Linked DNA regions of Caenorhabditis elegans. The protein of the gene in region 1 purifies or fractionates together with the protein of each later gene. This does not show direct contact. Each region holds a gene or a part of one and is shown in the gene's direction. Other genes may lie near its edges.

The links.
Region 2: the proteins of pld-1 (region 1) and her-1 fractionate together in Caenorhabditis elegans (co-fractionation; one large-scale study listed by BioGRID). This does not show direct contact.
Region 3: the proteins of pld-1 (region 1) and arf-1 fractionate together in Caenorhabditis elegans (co-fractionation; one large-scale study listed by BioGRID). This does not show direct contact.

What each region holds. Positions count from the first base shown.
Region 1 is NC_003280.10:5,089,015-5,094,156, reverse strand, and holds the start of pld-1 (Phospholipase), read left to right. Parts: upstream 1-2,466; 5' UTR 2,467-2,520; coding exon 2,521-2,608; intron 2,609-2,743; coding exon 2,744-2,916; exon of another isoform or gene 2,917-2,961; coding exon 2,962-3,088; intron 3,089-3,134; coding exon 3,135-3,279; intron 3,280-3,327; coding exon 3,328-3,456; intron 3,457-3,721; coding exon 3,722-3,836; intron 3,837-3,884; coding exon 3,885-4,390; intron 4,391-4,513; coding exon 4,514-4,669; intron 4,670-4,720; coding exon 4,721-5,142. Other genes in the region: C04G6.2 (DUF281 domain-containing protein), read right to left, coding at 41-233, 289-430, 549-656, 841-910.
Region 2 is NC_003283.11:9,694,529-9,699,670, forward strand, and holds the start of her-1 (Protein her-1), read left to right. Parts: upstream 1-2,486; 5' UTR 2,487-2,600; coding exon 2,601-2,743; intron 2,744-2,792; coding exon 2,793-2,905; intron 2,906-5,142. Other genes in the region: ZK287.7 (RNA_ligase domain-containing protein), read left to right, coding at 28-158. UniProt on the Caenorhabditis elegans protein: Dictates male development. Probably plays a direct role in cell signaling during C.elegans sex determination. Inhibits the function of tra-2a.
Region 3 is NC_003281.10:5,713,141-5,718,282, forward strand, and holds arf-1 (ADP-ribosylation factor 1-like 2), read left to right. Parts: upstream 1-2,974; 5' UTR 2,975-2,975; coding exon 2,976-3,123; intron 3,124-3,196; coding exon 3,197-3,307; intron 3,308-3,406; coding exon 3,407-3,615; intron 3,616-3,700; coding exon 3,701-3,778; 3' UTR 3,779-4,404; downstream 4,405-5,142. Other genes in the region: rbm-26 (C3H1-type domain-containing protein), read left to right, coding at 1-560, 607-738, 792-929, 976-1,008. UniProt on the Caenorhabditis elegans protein: Small GTPase involved in protein trafficking between different compartments. Modulates vesicle budding and uncoating within the Golgi complex. In its GTP-bound form, triggers the recruitment of coatomer proteins to the Golgi membrane.

The sequences.
Region 1 (5,142 bases):
CTTGAAACTTTCATAAAGTACCATCAATATTTGTGCACTTCTACATGTTTCTGCATGTTGCTTGAGTAATTGGAGTAGGTATCCCACCAATTACTAACCGCCATATTCCAATATAAAAACCACCCGATTCTTCGCAGCTGACTGTGTATGAATCAGTGCCTCCGTTGCTTCCTTGCATTTCGGTTCCTGCTACAAAATAAGCAAATGTTCCAGTTGGGCATTGTAATGTCGTTCTAAAATATAAAGCAGTGTTCACTAGGGCATTGTGAAACATTTATGATAACTCACTCGCAACTAATAAGTCCTGCACCATCATCTACAAGTGAATAAGTAACGGGAATATCATCTCCAATAACACACCAATCTGTGGGACTTGGCATTCCAACTCCCATGCATCCAGTATTGTAAATTGGAGCACACATTGTGCAGGCTAGAAAGTGATTTAGGGTAGTTTAATTATACTCACAGTGATCTCACATCATCAATTATCATACACTCCAACAAATTTCGAATTTTTAAAATTTAGAAGCTTTTCATGAAACGCTTACGGTTCGGAGCTAATGTTAGAGTTGTTGTAGTTGCTTCCGTCGTTGTAGTTGTAGTAGTTGTGGTGGTTGTAGAAGATGTCGTTGTAGTAGTGCTGACTGGGTCAATAGCTGAAATTAAAGCAAGTTGTGCCACAAATTTTTTACTATGCAACATTCTTTCTAGGCATTCCAGTGTTCTTATATAAAAGGTTTCTAAATAATTTTCTCAATAACTTTACGATACAAGATTCAAAAAAATATTTAGCTAATACATTTATTTTCCATCAATTAAAAAATACTGCGAAGAACTTACGTTCAACTTCTTGAGTTGGGATACATGTAATAGCGACTTTAACAATAGAGAATAAAAGGAAGGCGATCATGTTGTCCCTGTAATGTCCTCAGACTACAATTCATTTTATATCGGTCTAGTGTTATGCAACATCGCTTCAATATCCTGTTTCAATGTGCGAATGATACCGATTTCTGTATTCGTGGATGATCTCAAATCGTAGAAGGTATGGATTTGGGTTTATTACGGGTTTCCTACATACCCAAAGATCAAATCAGACTTTTTTAAATCGAATTACGCCACTAGGTACTCCATGGGTTGCCTCTGGAAAACAAAATATCTAACAATGACTATCACTTTATTAGGATCTGTAGTATGGCCACAACCAACATGTTAAGGTCTTACCTAGGTGTATGTGTTCAATATAAATTCTGAACTGATAAACGAACAGCTGTTTACATGTTTCTTTGCCCACGTTTTTTGTTTCCACCAACCAACTTTTCATCTTCTTCTTATCATCTTCGCGTTTCATATCATACTCAATGCAAGGCATTTTTCCGTTTTCCTCTTCAAAATTCTAAAAAAATCAACATGGCATTGTTTTTCCCGCACGAATTAAGGCCTGCCACTTATTTAGTTGTAGCCAGTAATTTTCGTTTAAAATCATTTATTTCTCTGCATCAAATATCACCACATTCACACGAAGAACAATCAATATAATGTGGTTTTACAATGGTTCTGGCTCATGTAAACAAGCGCCTCAGAGATTAAAAGAACGGGCGCCGGAGAGATGGCGCAGAGAAGTAAAGTAAAAATGCATGTGGAGAGACATAACTGGTGTAGGAGAGGCACAAGACAAAGATAGAGTGCGCGAATGACCCCGTCTCCGCTATTAGTTGCTTCCGCGTGGGATTTTCTCACATTATATGAAAGATTTTTGCCGTTTATCTTTTTTTATCATTTGAATCGTCAAGAATAAAAACCACACAAAAAACCTCTTGTATCAGGTTTTTTGAAAAATTGTGAATTTCGATTTAAATTTTCTGAAGTCCCCGAAATGGGAGAAAACTGCAAAGAACAATTTTAAAAATCAATTTCGAGGAAATTTCGTGGTATTTTTCTCGAAAAAAAATCGACTTTATTCTTAAATATGATTTATTGCAATTTTGATGTCTTTTTTATTGCATTTTTTGCTTTTTTTCAAAATTGAAACAACAACGAATAAATTCCATCGAAAACACATTTTTGTTTCTCTACAAAAGGCGCCGATGGTCTCGCAACGAACCAGAAAAATTTTTTGGCAATGTGCATGCGCCTTTAAAATAGTACGGTAGACTACTTTTTGGAATCTTTCGAAAAAATTTAATTGTTTATTTTATTTTGTTTCAAGGAGTGTTTTTCTTTCACATTTTCAAACATATTACTGATAAAAATATAAAACTACAAAAATTGAACCTTTTTCAAGATGAATCACAGTATTTTCTTCATTTCCTATTACCAATTTGCCATTTCACAGCCAACTTTCTCTTTTTTTCCACACTTCTACAGTTTGTTCAGTGATTCATCACATTTTTCATGTTTCGCACTTGTAAAGATTACGAAACCAAGAAATATTAACTCTGAGAAACTTGCTTTTTATTCTTTCAGGGAGAAAACCCGCACTCCGGTCTGATTTTGACCATTCAAAGTCAAGACAGAAATATGGAGAGCGAAGATGAAGAGTCGCGGAGGCCTCAGACAACATCAAGTGGTCATCTGGAACCGAAAGATACAACTGAAAATAATTCAGGTTAGTTTTTCCGTGAAAATCAGAAATCACAAGGAATTCATAAATACATTTTGCACTTTTCCTTCTCTTTTCAAAAAGTTTCTTCTTGAACACACCAAAGTCAACAACATTTTCCAATTTCTTTTTCATTTTCAGTCGACTCATCTGTAATGCATGACCGTGGTATACCAGGACTCCTGCCAGCAACAAAAGCTTCAGATAAACAAAAGAAAGCTGTAATTCGGTTCCGAGAACACGAGGGAAGAGCAGACAGTCCGCCAAGCAACCTTAATGTCCGACGAGACAGCAAAACAGTTCACATTGATGAGGTAAGTGCAACTTTTCTTTTTTAACTCTAGATATTTATCTTTCAGGTATCCTCTCCACAGTCCTTGGATTATGGTGATAGTGATGATAGTTCTGATGACGATGAGATCCAATATTGTGACTGTGTTGCTGCTGCTTTACAGCAATCTCTTCCCGGAACACCTGGAAGAAAAGGTATTATTACTTTAAAAATTACTCATATTAAACGTGTTTGGTTAAGGAATCATTCCCTACATGTCAATTTATGATACTCAACAGCAAGCTCGTCGTCGAGGATATTGGATACCAGGAGTTCCGGTTAACGCGAAAATTGTAAAAGTCGAGAGAAATACGGATCGGGGAATTCACTTTATTAATACACTTCTGTGAGTTAGAGAATTTTGAAGTAAAATTGAAAAATCAACATTTTTCAGCTACACAATCGAGCTGGAACATGGACAATTTCGTTGGAGCGTCATCAGAAACTACAAAGATTTCACACTTCTCAACAATCGTCTCATGGCACATCGTGCTCGTGAACAATTTATGGCACCAATTAAAAGGTATTAATTGCCACTTTTTATTTTAATTTTCTCATTTTACACCTTTTATAATAAGTTTGAAGCTTTTTTTCTTGCAATTCACCCCATCGCTAACCTAAGACTAACCCCCATTCAGATTTCGTGGTAAAGTTCAGGATGAGTAAGTTTCTACACGCTGTTGTGCTTGTTTTGTTTATTTTTAGACTTGAATGGCTTGTTTTTGGACTGTTTTGTATGAAATTATAACTGCAAATTAATGTATTTTGCTATTTTTATTTATTTTCAGAACACAAGAGCGATTCGATAATTATTTGGAGCATATGGGTATTGATATTATTTCTGATCACAAGCCAGAGTGTCCATACTCAAATCAAAGCTCTAAACGGAAGAGACATCCGAAGGTATCTTTAAGAGTTTTTTATCTTATAAAGAAGTTTAAATATTTACAGCTGCAAGTTCTGAAGCGTGATTCGGATGGAATTGAAGAATCAAAGAATACATCTGCTCCACTAGCATCAGTTGAATCACCTGGAGAAGTAGAAGATGCATTCAAAAAGGAAGTTCACATGCAGCAAGCTGTACAATCTGGAATTCTCGATGAAACTGTCAATGAGGCTAATACATCCGAAGGAACACCTAAACGGCAGCGACGTCAACAGAGAAAGAAGGATCGGCACACTCTTCCACGTTTCCCAATGATGCCTGATTCGATGGTAACAAATTTGGAGCATCGTAAAGAGCTTCTCGAGAACTGGCTCCAAATGGTTCTTCACATTCCGATCAACAGAAATCATCACGAAACTGCTGAATTTTTGGAGGTTTCGAGATATTCATTTGTCAATGAGCTTGGTGGAAAACATACGGAAGGATTTGTCAAGAAACGTCCTGGAGGTTCGAGAGTGTTCCTTGGATGGAAGCAATGTTGTGTACGATATCTTCTACCGTGGAGTAAAAGGTTATTAAAAGTTTTGGTCAAAATTTTTCGATTTTTTCAGTAATAATCCAAAAATTCGAAAAATCTGAAAATCGACACCTTTTATCGTTTTTATCGAAATAAAATTAATAAAAACAATTTCAGATGGCTTATGGTTCGTGATTCATTTGTTGCATATATGGATCATCGAACTGAGCAGATTCGGATGGTATTGCTAATGGATCGTGATTTCAAAGTTGCAGCTGGAGGAAAAGAAACAGAAGGAATTCCGACAGGACTCATTATTACAAATAGTCAACAGTGAGATTATAATTCAGGAAAAATCAATAAAATCAAAATATAATTTTTCAGTGAGCTTCATCTAAAATGCCGCCGTCTTCAGGACACTGCCACGTGGAAATACATTATTGAGCAGGCTATGGGTGGAATCGGAAATACTTGGCTTCAACCACACAGATTCAGTTCCTCATTTCCAGTACGTGAGAACTGCCACGCGAAATGGTTTGTTGATGCGAAAACATACATGGAATATGCGGCTGATATGATGGAACTGGCTCGGGAAGAAATTTACATTACCGATTGGTGGCTCAGTCCAGAGATTTACATGAAACGGCCAGCTCTCGAAGGAAACTATTGGCGTTTGGATGAAATTTTGAAGAGAAAAGCTGAGCAAGGTGTGAAGATTTTCATATTGTTGTATAAAGAAATGGAAATGGCACTTGGTCTCAATAGTATTTACTCAAAACGGACACTTCAAGGACTTCATGAAAATA
Region 2 (5,142 bases), on another chromosome or scaffold:
AAAATCTGAAGCTTCCTATATTTTTAGCTCATTTCATAGCAATGCTCGATCTACTTGGTCTTCGTCATGCTTATAAAGATTTTATGAATAGATCTGAAAAACCTTCAGAAGACTCATCGTCTTCAACATCACGAACATCGGGAGATGTCGTATTTTAGGATCTCAAATTTTATTAGTTCAGTTATTGTAAGAAATCTTGTCAGTTTTTTGTTGTTGTCTGTTGCTCTTTGTTAACTAATAAAACGCAATTTTTCTTGACGTCGCTCTGCCATAAATTTTCAATCATCTTCTCTTCTCTTTCTACTGCTGCCGTTGCACCCTGGGTTTGAAAAATTTCTCTTTCATCCCGTTGCAATGGTTTACGGATTACGGTAGATGTCTCGGTTCAGTTTGAAACGTTAAACAGTGTATTGAAATTACGATTGGCATCGGATTTGAACTTTCAGGTACTGATGGAGACATAATTTGAATAGATATTTCTAGAAATGAAAACCTTGCAGTTGAATATTTGAATTGAAATATTGGATATCAAGAAATTACAACATTTAAAAAAATCAAATCAAAATGGCAAAACATTCAGAGAAATGAGTTTGCTTGTATTACTTGGTTTTAAAGGCGCATGACTCTTTGAGATTACTCTATTGAAAATTTTTGAAACGTGAGAATTTCTAGTTCGCAAATTCGTAATAAATTTGATTAAAAAATATGTTGAATGTATCTAATTCACAGTTGCAATATTTTTTCTTACTATTATTTTCCATTGTATCTGAAAAATTAACAAGTTTCTCATTTTCATTACTACATAGTCATCGTGAAATTTCAAACACTAAATATATTTTTTCCAAGTAATTTTTGATTCCAATTCTTAATTATATTGATGAACAGATAGTTATTTTTGGGCCAGGAAAATAAAATTCAATGTAGCAATATATATTTGCATCAACGGAGCTCAACACCATTATATATCCTTATTTTCCCTGAATTGCCTTTATTGTGCTCGGTTGTAGCTACACTTGTAGACCCACGTCATCTGTCCACACCGCCTACTCGTTTGATCTTCTTTCCCGCGCATTCGATCTCTAAGTCACTCAATCTCCTATGCTATTTTAGTGAATCACGCACATGCAATAGCATTTGCTCACAATTGCAGACACTCAGTTACTGTGAGACAGGCAATATAATGGCCCTTCGGGATATCGAGTGTTGTCTAGAATGAGGTAAGTTGTGAGAAGATAGGAAGACAACGAAGTAAGATAAAGGAATTGTATTTGACTAAAAAATGAAATATCAATTTGATAAAAATATGTTTTGAAACTGTAAATTAATTTAATACATTGTTTTCTTTGACAGATCTTTGCATGTTCAATCAGTTTCTGATCTGAAACTTTCAGCTGAAAAGTATAGACGAATAAATAGTCAAATTTAAGTAAATTGATAATCTTAGATAGACCTAAAAAAGTAAAGTGAACCAATTCACGATTCGGTACGTTTCTGCCATAGAATACAACTCATTTCTTAAAATGATATAGAACAATACTTTAAAGAGTTATTCTAAAGAGTTCTAAGAGTTATTAAGAGATATTACTCTAAAGAGTTACTAAAGAGTATTCAATCTGAACCTTAAAGGAACATTAAAACTGAAGAAGATTATTTTGTTATTCGTTCTATCATTACTACAATCTTGCTCTTTTGATCTCTTGTCTCATGAGTATTTTGGTAGTTCAATCTGACAATTAACAAATTGTTATGCAGGATATTCGCAAATTTGGCAATCCTTATCATATCAATTACCGTCAAAGGTGGAACATACCATGTTTGAAACGAAATGAAGTCAATTGGAACATATAGAACGGTTACAGTATGCTCGATAAAGTATAATTTGATAAACTTTATTTTGTAAAACTATTGTATCAATCATCTACGGCATTAATCCTCAACCTTGAAAATAGATATGAAAGTAAAGTTGACAAGGCACAAAATTGGAACATAGTGATCGAAAATAAAGATATCTATTAATTGGAAATTGTTCGGCGAGGGGCTCTTCGAAACATTTACTGGGGTTTTATGAAAGTTTCTTCTAAAAAACATAATTTAAGATTGAGAGGTGCTCTCAATCAATTCAATATTTTCAAAGAAATAATCATATTCTGTGAAATCAACACTTAAATTATACATTTTTTCATATCTTTTAAAAAATGGAGTTGTATTTACAGGATTTAATGAGATTGTTGAGAGTGACGTCACTGACGAGCAGATATGTTTCAAACATGAACTAATTAGTTTCTAGTATAGTTTTGCCTAGTTTCTTATATATTAAGCAGAAACAACGGACCAGTTCTTCAGCTTCTGAGAGTAGATTATATCTTAGGAGCATACATGAGCACTGTATGTACCTTCTTTGTCTAACTTTCTTTGAGTATCTAAGTCTCTTCAGGTTCTATATCCATCATTCAACCAAATGACACTGCAGGGATGCCTATCTCCTGACTGAACCCACCAGTCGTCTCTTGCTCATATTCCTCCTACCTTCTGCTTCTATTTTCTCAGCGCATCTTGTCCACCTACAGTAGTAAATCTCCTCCCTTTCCTTACGTTGCATTATGAGATATCTCCCAATTTTTGTGTTTCTCGGATCATTTGGCTATACGGAAACTACATTAACAAAGGAACTTATCAAAGATGCAGCTGAGAAATGCTGTACAAGAAACCGTCAAGAATGTTGCATTGAAATTATGAAATTTGGGTGAACCGCTTTTACGAGCACGAACAATGCGATAATCGGTATAATTTAGAACCCCAATTCGATGTGGTTATGACAGGGATCCGAAGCTACCCGGATATGTCTACAAATGTCTTCAAAATGTGTTGTTTGCAAAAGAACCAAAGAAAAAGATTAACTTGGATGGTGAGCGTTTTTTTTTCAGGTAAAATTCTCCTCACAAGCCAAGATATCAAGTTTTGTTTATTCTTAAGAAATATAGGAAATGACTAATACGGTATGTACAAGTTAGTTTTAACTTGAGGAAAATCGAGAAACCGGTGGCATAGCGCCCGCCCGTGAGGTCATTGATTGGCCGGAGGCAGAAAGACCACACGCATTGAAAAGTCACAATATCTTTTCTGCCTCTTTCATTCGTATACTCTTTGGAAATTTTCAATAATTTTGAACATTTTTTTTTTAATATTCTTGCCTCAAATTGTTTTGAAAAAAATCAAAGTAAATCATCAGAGGCTTCTCTGATTTCAAAATAATAGTTAGAACGTAAGTAAAGAGAGAGCGTTTGAAATTTTTCATGAGTAAGATTATTATTACTACTTATCTTTAACTATTTGAAATTTAAAAATGGCATGCAATGTATGGGAGAAATATTTGAAGAAAGCGCCCAAGACTTCAAGAATATCTGAATTTGAGGAGTTATATCACAAAAACTGAGCCTGCAACCTATACTAAAAAGTATACCAAAACAAAGATAAAATTAAAGTCTTTGTTTCTGAGTATTTATTATCATTTGAAAAATTATTTAATAACACGTAAAACGTCTTCAAACTAACCCCAATTTAGAATGTTCGCGCTCTCTCTTGCTGAAATCAATTATAACTATGATAGAATGATTATTCGAATAATTCATAAGGGCTATTATTTTTTCACTTTAAATTATAAAACGAATACTTTACCAATTTTGAAACAAAGTTTCTGCCAATGTGAAATTAAACTGGAAATTGAAGTTTCACCGCTAAGTTCGAAAGCAAATGTTGGGCATTTCCATAATCCGAGTTACAGCAGAACGAGATGTTATCATATAGTAAAAAAATTGTTCAAACATTTTTCGATATTTTAGAAATTAGAAAAAATGCAGTACGATGACGTAGACAATGGTAAGAGGAGGAAGATAGTGCGTATGTGTGCGCAGAGAGGTACAAGGCTTCGGGCATTGGGCAGTCGCCACCATACGCTCGATCGATATATTCAAAGTCGGTCAGGCTTTTAACAATTTGAAGCTTACTGATATCAGTAAATTTGTGATAAATGTCAAGGATACCGTGTCTTTGAAGCAACTTAAGCTCTCTATAGTTTCCTGATTTGATTTCACTTCAACATACTACATTTCCAGTTATTGATAACACTTATCAACTAGCATTTAAACATTTTCTCATATCTATAATAATGTTTGATTTCCTGTAAATAGTTTCCTCTTCCATTTCGAATTGTAATATTTCCCTCAATAACATTGGAACCTTGTTCAACTAAATAGGGATCACTTTGACAACACCTAAAGCATCTACAAAAAATTTTTGGTAATGTAACAACCAAGTTTTCTAAAAGAATTTGACATGCTCTATTTGTTAGAAAAACTTTTTGATTATGTTTCAGGCTCAGTTTTTGAGATATTCAACTCTAAAGTTGCAACTTGTTCTAGGTGGTCCGTTCAATTGTCCTAGGGTTGTGCAGGCAATTGGTATTGCGCAGGGAGAATAGACGGACCCTTGTGTCTTGCGTACCACCTGTCATCATGTTTCGAGAGTAGATATTCTTCAAACCCTCAAACTATTTAGAAATATATTTTTTAGCCTCAAAAAGTTACGTTTTTCGTTCAGAATTCTATTAGGGCTACGTTTTAACATAAGTTTTAAAATAGGCTTCTTTATTTGTTTTTGAGATATTCATGGCCAAAAAAAAACTTTACAGTATTGAATTTGGCTCTAATATTTTTCAATACTTGTTCTCTACAATGTTAAAAAAAAATTAATTTCGCCTACTCATTTGATCATTTAATAGATTTATGAAAACATAAAAATTATGATAACAATGTCTTTGAATTCTCTGATAATGTTCATAATTTGTTTTGATCTTTCTCGTGTTATCTCTCCAAGATAAAAGAGTGTTCTACTGCGAGCACTGATACCATATCTTTGCATGTTTATCCTTTTATCAGTTGACTCACTCTTTTGTTAGGTGTATTGATTAGATGGGAGACTCCCCTGCAACAATTGTCCTACAGGAGCAGAGCAGTTGCTTTTTTTCTTTTGACATCTTGCATTTTTCGTTAGAAAGAAAATATTTAAGTGCCGCCGGGAGCAATCTGTTTTATTTACAAATATATCAGAATGCACGGCATCAGCTAATAAATATTGAATAAGTAT
Region 3 (5,142 bases), on another chromosome or scaffold:
TTAAAGTATTTTGGCATAATCCTGGAGGCGAAGGATCCGAAAACGCAACTGGAAAGCCGTCATCTCCAACTTCTCCACCAAAACCTGTCGAAAAGCCGAAGATTGCCACAGTGCAAGAATCAAAATTTGTCAGTGTTGCTGCTCAAAACTATCGGAAGCAGATCCAGGATGCTAAAGAACGATTAACGAAAGAGAAGAGTATTTTATCGACGCTAGTTCAGGCTCAGAATCAGCATAATATTATTCTTGACAAGTGGATGGTTAAACAGAAGGAGTTGCTCATCAAGGCGAGAACGTCTACTGATGAAACTGATAAGAAGAATGCAACCAAATTGGTCAAACATCTGCATAAAAAAATAAAGGCATGCAAGGAAGAAGTCGACGGAATCCTGCTCAAAATATCAGAAAAGTCAATGGTGGTTGATGAGATTGCAGCCCAAATTGAAGAGCTTAAAAATCCACAAAAATCGGACGATTCGACCCGGAAGCGAAAAGCAGGAAGCGATGGAGACGAGCCCCAATCTAAAATGAGCAGTGTTGTCATCGTTCGAGGTGTAACAGTGAGTTTTCTTTAAATTGTAGATTTTAAAAACACATTATTTCCAGGATGAATTGGTCACTGATTTGATGGCACATATGGAGAAGTTCGGTGAGGTTTTTGATCACAGTGTTAAAGCCGACGACGATGGTCTCATAACAGCCGTTTTTCCGTTTAGAAAAACAGGTGATGCGTTGAAAGTGAGTTTTCAGTTTAAACGGGACTCGATTTTAAATAAGATGTTAATTTTTAGGCAATGGCGGATGGCAAAGTTCTGAATGGTGTGGACCTCGAGATGGAATTGAAGACGGAGCGAATCGAGGAGATCCCTTCAACTGATACGAACATGTCTGCCGACCAGTTGCTCGCTGCAATTCCGAGCAATCTTGAGGTAACTTGGTTTTCACTTGAAAATTAAATTTAAAAAAAGATTTCAGTCTGACGAAGAAGATGACCTGCTAAATGATTAGTCCTAGTTATATTAGAACTTTGATCTCAAAATATTGTCTTGGTGATCTTACTCGTTGTTTCCAAATGGTTACTTTTCTAGTTATCTGGCTGGTTAGCCTATTTAACCTCAGATTTACCTCAATTTTTCTTCCCGTTTATTATTGTTGCCTATCAGAAACTGTTTCGATTTTTTCTATTGTATATCCATTATAATTTATCACATTTCCTCTCTTATCATTCTTTAATTGTCTTCAGTTTAACTGCCCATTTGGCAATACTTTTTCATCTTCATTTTTTATTGTTCTTGGCTAAGAACTTGTCATGTGATCTGTTCAGAATCGCAATGATTATTGATTTTTACCTGATTCCTTGACAAGTTCCCATTATTTTTTCGTTCATTTTTGTTGTTTGCATTATTTCTATCGATATATCTCATTGATGAAAAAGCCAGCAAAAAAGAGCAAAAGAGAGCAATAACTCCACTAAATGAGAAAAATAAAGTAAAAGAATACATAATGGCTGTGATCTCGAAAAAAAATCAGCGAAAGAATAAAAGACGGGCCACTGAAAAGTGAACGAGTACAAAAAGAGCCCCTCCCGAGTGACGAGTAAAAAACGAGTTAATTTTCAATAAAACACAGGTATTTTTGCGGAAACCGGTGTGTTTTCGTCGTATTTAGCCGTGAATTGCCAGAAAATAAATGATTTTAATTTTTTTTTTCTTTGTTCTTTCTTAACTTTATTCCTCCAATTTTTCTTGCTTCGACGTTGCAATCGTCACATTTTATCTTTGATTTGATCGTCATTTCATTTATTTCCGAATTTGAACGCAAAAAGCTCGAAAATCAAGGTTTGTGACTCCTAATAATTACTGCAGAAAGTAAGAAATTCTCGGCATTTTGAAAGGCGGAAAGATGAACTATCCTAGATTGGCGCAAAGGCATTGATCTATACTGTCTGCGGCGGCCGGTTTCTATTAAGCTTTCATTTTTCTCCAGCACATTCTTCAGAAGCGCCACATTGCTTTAGTCGGAAATGCGGGTCATCTATTTAGAAAGTTTGGCGCTTTGTATTTGATTTAATATTAATTTTCTCATCTGATTCTATTTATTAGTCACAGTATCTCGTGCTGCACTCTTGTGACACGTGTCCTTTTTTCAGAGTTTTTAATTGCGTCACGATTTTCAAAATTTCTCAACAATGCGCTCGCGTTCAATAGGTTTTTCTTCTCTCAAAAAGCATTTTTCATCACTTTCTTAATGTTGCAGTTTATCGTCTTATCACTCGAAAAAGTTTGTTTCAAAGTTCAAATTTTAGAACTTTCGGGTTCATTCAATCAATCAATCAAGATTTCACTGAAGGATTGAAAGATTCAACGTACGGCTGACGTGGAGTCAGTAGAAGGAACTCGAACATTACTATTCTCGTTCCTGTGTGTATGTGTTCTTCATCCTTCCGTCCTGCACTAGCGGACAAATTTGGACGGTCTCTTGTTCTTTTTCGCTCTCTCCTCATCTCTTGCGGTACTTTCACGTCTCGGTCTCTTCACTTATTGCCATCTATCTCCTCTTATTCGACCGCTGCGCAACGCACGCGACGCGCCCAGCGAACAAGACAAAAAGCAGCGTCGAGAGGTTGAGAGAGGAAGAGACACTCCACTGGTCGCCAGAGACTGCTGTGCTAGTGACACGTTGGACGGTGTAGCCGATGTATTTCTGCTGGATTCTCGCTCCTTGCGCCTGTTATAGATATCCATCTCCTTGCCACGTTTTACCCGATTCTTCCTCCTTCCAATCGTCTTCCGTACTTTTTTCTCCGATTGTCGTTGCTGGCATTTTCACGTATTGGATTTGAAATCTTCCCGAATTTTTCGCAATTTCCCACGAAGATTATTGATTCAGCTTTCACATTTTATTAGCGTTCCTTTTCACTTCCATCGGTTCCTCTTCTGAAATTCAATAATTTAATTTATTAATCAATTTATAGAATGGGAAACGTGTTCGGCAGCTTATTTAAAGGCCTCTTCGGCAAACGGGAGATGCGTATTCTGATGGTTGGATTGGATGCTGCCGGAAAGACTACGATTTTGTACAAGTTGAAGCTGGGCGAGATTGTCACGACTATCCCAACTATTGGTGAGTCATTGGGACGTTTTTTTGTTGCGAAAGAACGGTTCACAATGAGTCATAATTTTTATTCATATTTCAGGATTCAACGTGGAGACTGTCGAATACAAGAACATTTCATTCACCGTGTGGGATGTCGGAGGTCAGGACAAGATCCGTCCACTCTGGAGGCATTATTTCCAGAACACACAAGGTTAGTGATTTACGAGAATAGTTTGCGGATCAGCTTATCACCCGCAAGAATTCACAGACTGTCCAAAAAAAATGCTCTATTGATTATATTTTCTTGCAGGACTTATCTTTGTTGTTGATTCCAACGATCGTGAACGTGTTGGAGAGGCTCGTGAAGAGCTGATGCGTATGCTCGCCGAGGATGAGCTTCGTGATGCCGTTCTTCTGGTCTTCGCCAACAAACAAGATCTTCCACAAGCCATGAACGCCGCTGAGGTCACTGACAAGCTCGGGCTCCACTCGCTCAGAAATCGATCGTGGTATATTCAGGTGAGATATTTTTAATCAGCAGTTTCTCATCTGATATTTTAAAACTAAAGAAATTCACTATTTTTCAATAATAAATTAATTCCAGGCCACATGTGCGACATCAGGAGATGGTCTCTATGAAGGACTCGATTGGCTCAGCAACCAGCTCAAGAATAGATCTTAAATCATTTTTCTGAATCCACCTTCGACGAATAAACGACTACGAATCATCCGTTTTTGTTATTCGTTTCAACTCCTTTCTTCTCCCCATTCATTCTCTTTGTTCTTCTCTGTTCCATTTGAAATTCCCTCTCCCATCCCTTAGGCTTTTTAATTTGATCACCATCGCCCTCTTCTACTTTTTCAACCCAATTTTTATTTAAAGCCCCAATTCATTTGTCGTCTATTTCTTCTTAACTTCCAAATCCGACATTTTTTCTTATCCGATTACATTTGGAACCGCTCCTGACGGGAATAATATGTAAGTTATTCATTGTTTTTCTCTCCATTTTTGACCTGCTCCGCCCTCCATCTCCCTCAAATATTCCCTGAAACAGTGTTGTGTAACGAGAAGAAGTATGAACGTGTTTCTCTTCTCTTGTTGAACCATTATTCTATTTTTGTGATTTTTGCGCGTAATTGCACACAAACCTACACACAAATCTCGTTTTCATCGTTCCCTTCCCCTCGAACCTTTAATTTCGCTTCTCTTCTATTTCGTATCGAACACTGTTTTGCTTTTCCTCAATTTTTCCGTATTATAGTATCATATTCACCATTTTTTTTGTCGTGGAGTAAATTATTATGTTATATTCACCTGTTGATAATGACAATATGAAAGTATGAAAATGATCTTTTTCCTCAATTTGGACAAGAAATGTTAATTTTTAAGGGTAATTTATTAACACATGAGGCGTTATACTATGTGCAAAAATTTTTAATACGGAAAAACTAAATTCTGGAATTTCGTATTGTGCAACTTGTCTGGCGCACAGATATCACGTAGCGAAAAATACAGAAATTATTTACATTACTACTGTAGCCATGGTCTGATTTTGCTTTGTTCTTTTTCACTTTTTGACTCGGAATGACAGAAAAAAGAAAAATAGGATGAAATTCAAATATTTCGGTCACAATTCGAAAATAAATTATGTTCTAAAATCGAGCCCGTAAATCGACACAAGCGCAACAGTAGTCATTTAGAGAATTACTGTAGTTTTCGCTACGAGATATTTTGCGCGTCGAACATGTTGCTCAATGCGCATTCTCAGTGTTCACGTAATACACTGAAAATACAGTAATCCTACAGTGCTTCTAATGTACCCTGATACTATTCCCAGACGTATTCCAATTCATAACCTCTCCAAATCACCTAAATTGCACAATTAATGGAACTACAGTAATCCAATTATATACTTACTGTACCCTAATACTATCTCTGCTGACTGAGCAACTATTCAAGCAAAATTTGAATAAAAGGGGAAGTTACGTTAACAATCTCAAGTTTTTATAACGAATAAAACATGATAGCTGAATTGCACAAATATT